Linked DNA regions of Sus scrofa. The protein of the gene in region 1 interacts with the protein of each later gene in a pairwise test. Links are inferred from orthologs where the notes say so. Each region holds a gene or a part of one and is shown on either strand. Other genes may lie near its edges. The genes, in order: HNRNPA1 and HNRNPH3.

What was found.
Region 2: the proteins of HNRNPA1 (region 1) and HNRNPH3 interact in binary tests that used the Homo sapiens proteins (3 or more experiments, as listed by UniProt). The link is inferred for Sus scrofa from reciprocal best matches to the Homo sapiens genes HNRNPA1 and HNRNPH3.

The regions. Positions count from the first base shown.
Region 1 is NC_010447.5:19,483,818-19,487,976, reverse strand, and holds the start of HNRNPA1 (heterogeneous nuclear ribonucleoprotein A1), read right to left. Parts: upstream 2,801-4,159; coding exon 2,786-2,800; intron 2,241-2,785; coding exon 2,124-2,240; intron 1,831-2,123; coding exon 1,684-1,830; intron 1,554-1,683; coding exon 1,343-1,553; intron 1,252-1,342; coding exon 1,159-1,251; intron 1,074-1,158; coding exon 981-1,073; intron 872-980; coding exon 797-871; intron 523-796; coding exon of another isoform or gene 364-522; intron 1-363. UniProt on the Homo sapiens protein: Involved in the packaging of pre-mRNA into hnRNP particles, transport of poly(A) mRNA from the nucleus to the cytoplasm and modulation of splice site selection.
Region 2 is NC_010456.5:71,484,505-71,489,289, forward strand, and holds the start of HNRNPH3 (heterogeneous nuclear ribonucleoprotein H3), read left to right. Parts: upstream 1-1,790; 5' UTR 1,791-1,949; exon of another isoform or gene 1,950-2,258; intron 2,259-2,493; exon of another isoform or gene 2,494-2,817; intron 2,818-2,907; exon of another isoform or gene 2,908-3,038; intron 3,039-4,785.

The DNA.
Region 1 (4,159 bases):
ATTCAGTTGAATAATCCAGTAGCTAGAAATTTACCCCTGACTCACCATGGTAGAGCAAGTAGTATAGTCTCTAGCCTCGAAGGCTGTTGTTACCCATCCAGGGGCACCGCAAACACATGCTGGATACATCAACTAAGTGCCTAAATAAAAGCTAACCTAATCCCGATTAACTGTAGGCACCACTATCCCCCTTAATCTATTTGGGAGTGAGGCGGCCCCAGCTTAAAGCTAGGAGGAGGTAGCATTGCAAGCCCATTAAAAGAAAGTACCATGCAGTAAAACACATTATGCCTAGAGAGCATCAAGTTCCCATATGGCTAAGCTAGCTATTTGCACCAAGTACTTGGATCACTGGATACCTACCACTACCACCGCCAAAGCCGCCTCCGCCTCCTCCGTTGTTATAGCTGTCATAGCTGCCACTCCCGCCATAGCCACTGCCCTGGTTTCCATAACCCTGTCCACCACTTCCATAGCCTCTGCTTCCTCCAGAGTAACCAGGGCCGCCTCCTCCATAACCACCTACAAGAATACAATTCTTCTCAATAAGACACAAGTATTCAACATTCAAATTCTGTGCAAGCATGATGGCTAAAGGCCGGCTCACAACATGCTGTAAGAGTCAAACTTGAACTTATCATGCACTAAAGTTTTAGTATCTACTAGCCTATTCTAAAAGTAGTCAAACTTTTTACCTGTAGTTTCTTAAAAAACAAAAAAATCCAACAACAAAACGAACTAAAAAAACCCACACACGCACACACAAAATTTTAACAGTAAAAACAAAAAAACTTACCGTCATTACCAAATCCATTATAGCCATCCCCACTGCCACCATATCCACCACCACCACGACTGCCACCAAAGCCACCTGGAACAGAATTTAAAAGCCAGGTTTGAAGTATGTGGATCGCATACAAATCACACCCTTCTAAGCCTAAATTCTAAGAAGCGTTAAAATAATAAAAAACCATACATACCTCGACCACTAAAGTTTCCCCCACGACCAAAGTTGTCATTTCCACCAAAACCACCTCCACGACCACCACCAAAGTTTCCAGAACCACTTCGACCTGAAGAAAAAAATGTTAACGTTAAATTGTACCGGTTAAAATCATTCAAAATGATGCTTAAGGTTTAATTAAGCAACAAACTCACCTCTTTGGCTGGATGAAGCACTAGCCATCTCTTGCTTGGATAGGGCTTTCCTCACTTCACAGTTGTGGCCATTCACAGTGTGGTATTTCTGAACTGAAAAATTTGAAAGTAAGACACCATCTCAGAGTTTAGGACACAAATGGATTTCAGAACTCTTAGCGAATGCCAACCACCTGCTACTTACTGACAATCTTGTCTACGGAGTCATGGTCATCAAAAGTTACAAAAGCAAAACCTCTCTTTTTGCCACTGCCCCTGTCCGTCATGATTTCAATCACTTCGATTTTCCCATACTGTTCAAAATAATCTCTTAGGTGATGTTCTTCAGTGTCTTCTTTAATGCCACCAACAAAAATCTTTTTCACAGTTAAGTGGGCACCAGGTCTTTGAGAATCCTAAAGGGGGAGAAAATAGTAACAATCCTAAGACCATGTTAATACTAAGTCTGTTACATCCCCTTAATGTGAGTGAATCCTGCTAATCGAACATTTCCAGTCGATGAAACACAAGAAAAACATCACTTACTTCTCTTGAGACGGCCCTCTTTGGTTCCACAACTCTTCCATCCACCTTGTGCGGCCTTGCATTCATGGCTGCATCCACCTCCTCCACAGTGGCATACGTGACAAACCCGAAACCTCTGGAGCGCTTGGTGTTTGGGTCCCTCATTACCTTTAATGTTTATTTAGCACATGGTAAGACACCAGAAGTTACAGCCTTTTCTACCTTGACTAAGGCAATGGAAAACTTTCTACCAACCCTCTAAACGAAGCTCTTCAATGACCACCGCCCCCACCCCTTAAACCTAACAATTGGGAGCTTTTCAGCTATGAAGCCACACCTTCCTTTGTCAAGTAAGCTATAAAGTCAATAGGAATCTTCATAAGCATTCAAACAGCAACGACAGCGAGATAAGCCAAGAAAAACAACTAGCTCTAAGGCCTTTTGTCTCTTCCAAGTCTTACCACACAGTCTGTGAGCGTTCCCCATTGCTCAAAATGGCTCCTCAGACTCTCATCGGTTGTTTCAAAGCTCAAACCTCCGATGAAGAGCTTCCGCAGCTGTTCGGGCTCTTTGGGAGACTAGAAGTAGGGGCAAAAAAAGCGTTAAATAGGGCTATAACGCAAACAAGCTCCCCGCTACAAGAAGCAACACCAGGTAGCAACGTACGAAGCTTTTATTGTTCCCTCGGGTCGCTGTAAGCCACGTGCTTCTCCCCATCTGGGGAGGCGGTATGTTGGGGGCTGGGAAGCGGCGAGCGCATGCGCCCCTTACTCTCCCTACGACGCACGCGCAACAAAAGGACTGGGAGGGCGTGCATCGCCAAAATTGGACTACAGCTACTCTTTAAGAAAGTCGTCCACTAGGACAAGGATGAAAAACAGACCGAATGTGTCCACGAGCATTGCAAAAAAGAACGAGAGCAGCGTGATAACCAAGGATTGCACGACGACAGCCTCATGGCGACGAGGACAAAATGGCGACCTGAACTCAGGGAGGGGTAGGCCCCGGCAGCGACCGAAGAACTGCCGAAAAGGCTGGTGCAAGCAGCCAAACCAGACTGCACCCTACCAAACTCAGCAAGCGGCGAAGAAGAAAACGCAGATGAAAAAAGAGTCTCACTCACCTCTGACTTAGACATGACGGTAGTGGGGAGGAGGTTACAACGATGCTTACTCGGCGGCGTCCGGGGGCAGAAAGGAGTAATCTAACGAACGAGTCTGCCAGCCTACCTTCGGCCTCGCTTTTTTATCCCGCCTCCTCGCGTTCGGCATTGGTAGACTCCGCCCCTGAGTAGCTCTGATTGGATATTTGACATAGCTTTCCCCCACTATTGGTCTCTCGTATGCGTTGCTGTGTAACGTCATCCGTTTGGGCGTTCTACGCAGTCTCAACCCCTCCCGGTCCATTGGTTCCTAAGTAATATTATTCTTAACTAGACTGATTGGCTGGTCAACCAATGATTCATATTTGAATTATTTCGGGTATTGAGATAACTTTTTAATTAGCTATGTCCGGAATATTCAACGCCTGTGTCAAAGCATTTTTAATACTATGTATCAAAAAAGTAGCTAGCATGTGACAATTTGGCGGAACGGGGGCGGGGGCAAGATCGCCTGCTGAGCGCATGTGTAGTAAAATGGCGAGTTTACGCAGGCGCGCTAAGAAGTTCCGCCCGGAGCTTGCAACACGTGAAATGGCGGGCAGGAGACAGCGGCGAACCTAAGGCGCCTGCGTAGTGGCGGGAGTTGTGCCCCCTTTTGCGCAGGCGTAATGGGCGGGGAAAGGGTCGGGTCCCAGGATTGGTCGCGCAGGCGCAGGGAAGGATCCGTTTTGGCGGGCGGTTGGCGTTGCGCAGAAGGCGGCGGCGGCGGTGGCTTGTGGTCCGGCCGCACCACAGAGGAACAGGCGAGGCGTTAGCGTGAGTGATCGGTCTCGACCCCCGGTAAGTGGCGGACCATCTTGCCTACCCATACGAGGTCTTGAACTGACTCCAACTGGGCCCGTTATTGTGTGAAATGAATGGACCTCGGGGTGGGGGCTCGTGAAGGGGGAGCGGTGAGATCGGCCAACCAATGGAAGAACGGGGGCGGGATGTTTTATCCCCGTAGGTTCTGTGGAGCTTTGCAGCGGAAGAGTTTGACTGGCGAGTGTATAGGCCAATTGGGGCTGTCCTTAGCTGCCGACTCATCGGTCCTTGGGCCATCGGTATGTGGGAGGCGGGCTTTCTCCTCCTGAGCAGCATCTCACTGAGCCAATGAGCACGAAGCGCGCGGTAGGTTGGGCTCCTCCAAGAGGCCACGATTTGACTCCAATGGGGGATGCGGGAGTTGGGCGGTTAGGTGGATGGACCAAATCGGGAGCCAGTAGGCGAGCAGCCTCTGGAAAGCGCTCAGGCTGTTCGTCCAATCAGCGCTCCAAAAGAGGGAGGTCTTAGATTTGGGGATGCGAGGAAGGGGATTCAATGCCTGTGATGGCGCGTAGGGGCTATTTTATTCAC
Region 2 (4,785 bases), on another chromosome or scaffold:
CTGTGACCCTCTTTTGCCTGGCAAAGCAATAAAGCTATCTTTTTCTCTTTCACCTCCCCCCCAAATATTATTATTTTGGGGGAAGGGGAGGCAGTAGGATGGACTGGGAGTTTAGACATAATAGATGCAAACGATTACATTTAGAATGGATAAGCAATGAGATCCCAATGAATAGCACAGGGAACTATATCCAATCTCTTGGGATAGAACATGATGGAATATAAGAAATGTATGCATATATTTATGACTGGGTCACTTTGCTGTACAGCAGAAATTGACACATTTAAATCAGCTATAATTTTCAAAAAGAAGAGAAAAAATTTTTTTTCAGGGTTATAAAGTGTCAGTGAATTGAGCACCTAACTTGAGCAAGCTCTCAATAATTGTGAGCTACTGTTATTACATCATCCTGTTTTATTTTTCTATTTCCTGTAATGAACACACTGTCCTTTCCCCCCCTTTCTCTGAGGGTTATCTTGAGGGCGTAGGCTCAAGAAAGGCAGTTAGGGCACTATGACCTAGTCCCACACTTGTCTTAAACAGGTTTGAGGATGAATGAAAGCCAAGAAATGCAAGTTTCCACAATAAGATAGTAATTGGACTCCTGTCTCCACCCTTCACACTGCAGACCTCAGGGAAGAAAAAATTATTCAAGCTTCTCCACTGCTAATCCTCTAGGTCTCCTTCACCCCACCTCGACGCCCTTTTCAGGGTCTACAGCCCAAAGTCTTTGCACTCTGAAGTTCTACAAGCTAGTTTTGTCAACATTCCCAACCTAGGGGTACTTGTGTACACTTAAACTCATTTCCTCCTCTCCTTTGCATTTGATGTGCGTTCCTATACGTCCGCACTTTAACTTGCGCTGATCTCAGTACTAGGACCGACCTCTAATCTTCTTACAGAAATTCAGCTCGCCTTTTTTTTTTTTTTTCCCCTTCAAGAGGAGTCCCTAGGAACCTTGGCGGTATGACAGCACAACCAAAAATTATTTACTAGGTGTCATTTGTACAAGCAATTTTCAAGGATGCAAAGTACTATTTAGAAAACAACTGGAAGTCTCCCGCCGCGAGCGGCTGATGCTCACTGAGATTACAAAGTGGGAGAGATAAAGGCGAGAGGTAACGCCAAGGCGAAAGGAGGAAGCGATTTGCAAGGCAACCCACCTCCCCACTCCACCCCCAAATAAGCCCCACTGTGGGGCGGGTTGGGCGGCTGGGCTGGCAGCGCCAAGGCCGGGGGAAGGAGCTCCAGCCTGAGAACCCAAATAGGGGCCTGGTGGACATTACTGTATCTTCCCAGCCGGAAAACACTACTATTTTTACTGCATAACGCAAACATGGTGGACAAGAAAAGCCCTCCCCGCATTTGGCTGCCGAACCACGTGGCTCCCTTTCCACGCAGGTGACGCGGGGTGAGGGCGGAGCCTTACAGAATTTGCTCTCGCTGGGAAAAAGCGGACTTCTCCAAAACTCGACTCCAGGATTCTTGCAACACAAACAGGAAGGAATACTTTCGCCACTTCACATCTCCCCGCGAAAGCAGAAAGGTGGCTTTGAGAATTTGAAGGTTTTAGGGTAAGCAAGAAAAGCGGAGTTACTGACCCTCCACCTTCCCCCGACCCCAACAACCAGGCCTTCCACCAACGCGCAAGCGCACTTCTTGCCTTCCGCGCCAAGGCGGGACCGACTCTCTTGCCTCGCGAGAGCGGGGCCGGTGGGTCTTCCTCGCTCTCGCTCCACCCCCTCCTTCTCTCTCGCGCTCTCCCATCCCCCCAAGCCAGTCGCTCTGCTGCGCAGCTCCCTCAGCGGTTGCCACCGCCGGAGACGGTTGGAAGAACCGTTGTGGGAGCGCTACACGAGGCAGGCGACTTCTCCTTCTCCACGACCGGGCCCCGCAAGCAGCGGAGTCGGCGCTACTGTCGCTCGACAGGGTATCTGAAGTAAAAGGGGGTAGGTTGGGATGGTGGTTTCGAGAGTGGAGTCGGGAGAAGGACGAAAGAGAAACTGGGAGGGGGTGGGGCGGGGCGAAGTGTGGAGGTCGCCGCTCGGAGGTGGCCAGGCTGCGCCCCCCCGGGCGATCTCTCACTTCGGGGGCGGCCTGCCGGGCGGGGGGGGGACTTACTCAGGGGGGATTTAGTGGACGAAGCCGAGGCCCGAAGTGGGGCTCATCACGCATTTCCCGTCTTTTCCCTGCTGGTTTGGCTTCCGCCATTTTGGGTACGGTGGCGCGGCCACCTGGGCTTCCCGCCCTTCTCCTCTCTTTCTGCTTCTTGCCCCTTAGCTTCCGAAAACTGATTTAGGAGTCCGGGGAGGGGGGCGGTGGTTAGAGCGCCTCGGAAGGGATGTGGGTGGGGAAGGAAGCGAGCTGGGAAAGGCTGGGCACTTGGGTGGGGGGAGGCTCAGGGCCTTCGGGCGCGCTCCGGTTGGAAATGGCGCCGGATGGGCCTGGCCTCCCACCGCGGCCTCCCTTCCTCCGCAGTCTCAGCTGGGCTACCTGGGCTGGCGGGACTGCGAGTGACTTCTGACGCAGATTCCCAAGATGAGAGAGGCTGGAGCTGGGGGAGGAAAGCCAATGGCGACGAAGGCGCTCAACTCCCAAACCCGGGACAAAGGAGGCAGACGGCCTCCTTTGTAATTCCGCCGCCGGGTGGCGAAGGTTTTTAAGCCAAGCTTTGCTGCCGAACGGGAAGGGGGGGAAGGGGCGTACTCTCCCTAGCTCTCTGGTCTCTAGGGCAGCTAGATAAAACGAAAAGCCTCCGGGGAGGAATAAAGGACGCTTAGCCGGCCCTTATATTCCAGGTTTGGAGCTTCGAAAAGAGTACGTACTCATTTTCCAAAGGGTTTTTTCCACTTAAACCGTATTGGGAGACTTTATGGGTAATTGTAAGCAGAAAAGCGGGTGACTTACCGAATAGGAATGTGCAGTGGGGCTTATTTCAAGCAGGTGAACCAAGATACGACTTTCTGAACCTTTGGGCGGGGGCGGGATGGTTTAGCAATGGTTTTGTGTAGTTTGGCGAATACTGTGTTAGAATTTAAGTAGGTGGTTTACTTTTGGGAAACAGTTGTTAAAAAACAACCAGTGATGGAAAAAATGTGTGTATAGGAATTGCGTTATCGGCTTTCACCAATCTCCAAGATTTTTATTTTGTGCAAAGATTGTTTTGGCATTAAGGCTGTGGAAATAAAATACTTCAAAATACAGTTAGGGTTTATTTTCTTTCGGTAGCTAAGCGAATTTTCTATTTGGCTTAGGACTATAGTAACATTTTGGCGAAGAAAATAACCCTACTCAACAGAAAAACAAACTGCAAGCCCAGTCATGTGGTGCTGTGATTTTTTTTTTTTTTTTTTCGGTCCTTAGAACATTGGAGAACTGGGTCTGTAATTTTCACTGAAAACTGTGCAAAGTAAAGGACAGGCAAGGCATGAGACTTCCAATAATGCATATGAATCTTTACAAGTGTGTTTATTTTTTCATCTTTAAAAATGAAAAAGATCTTCATGATGTTGAAGATGTTCTGTGTTTCTATGCACTTGTAAAGACATATAGCCCAGTTTCTTATAAAGTCTTGTGTGGTGTAACAGCTTCCCTGATTGGATTACCCTAGAAACCTTTTTTCCTGCCCTTCATCTGCATCATGATTTGGAAATGCATCTAAATTGCTTTTTATATTTTAAACAACTGTGTAGTTTTGGTATTCTTACTTTGTTAAACAAGTGATTGAACTGCAGTGGGTGGTAACTTTGTTCTAGAAAAGAAATCCGTTTAGACACCTCACCTCCAAGTAGTAGTGTGTGAGTCTATTTTTATTTAAAATTGAGCAAGCACAATGAAAAGGGAATGATTTCCATTTTATTTAAGCATTTCATCACCACTTCTGACCAAAATTTTGAAGTTACCTCTCATTTTTTAATTTTCTGGCCAAACCTGTGCCACAGCTGTGACACCACAGGATCCTTCTTAACCTGCTGACCAAGGAACTTTTTTAGAAGCATGGTTTAGGGTTGTTTATTAATGTATCAAACCCTTTATGTTATAAAGGAATTTTATCTCATTTGGCTTCTAAGATGTTTTTTCTTAACAGCTTTGAGATACAGTTCACAGATCGTTAACTTCATCCATTTAAAATCATACAGTAGTGGTCTTCTGTGACTGGTTTCTTTCACTTAGCCTAATGTTTAGGAAATTACATTAAAAATTTCATACAGAACTGACAAACTGTGTATTTCAGCTGCTGGTGTTTTGATTGATGCTAACACTAGAAATTTTTAAAGCAGAATTGCTGTGACACTTGTAAAGAAAGGTTGAGAAGGATTATCCTGAATAATTGGTAAACACTTTTTTTAGGTAGTTTCTGAGACAACTTTATTAAGGTATCAGAACAGATTGGTGTTTTTTTTTTTTTTTTTTTTTTATGCCTTCAGGTTTTGTCTTGGTTTGGTTTTGTAAATAGAATTCCAGGTTCTAATTTTGAGTTTTGAAGAGTTAGTAGAGTGTGGGTTACTTTGTTGTGTACTCATTCACATGGGATGGAGAGTCATTCTGAAGTAGTTTGTCTTCCAAATCTGCTTAACCTTTCCCCAAATTAAAATTGTGTTAACAGTTTGGTGTGTTCTTTATAGACTGTATTGTTTTTATGCACTTTGGAATAGGCTGATCCAAAAATCAAAGCTAGTATAGTTTGCTTGCTAGTATTTCTTGGAAAGTGCTAAGATTTATAACTATAAGTCAGTTTCCATCTTTTTTGAATTCCTGAAGTGGTACCTTTACATTGAAAAATAA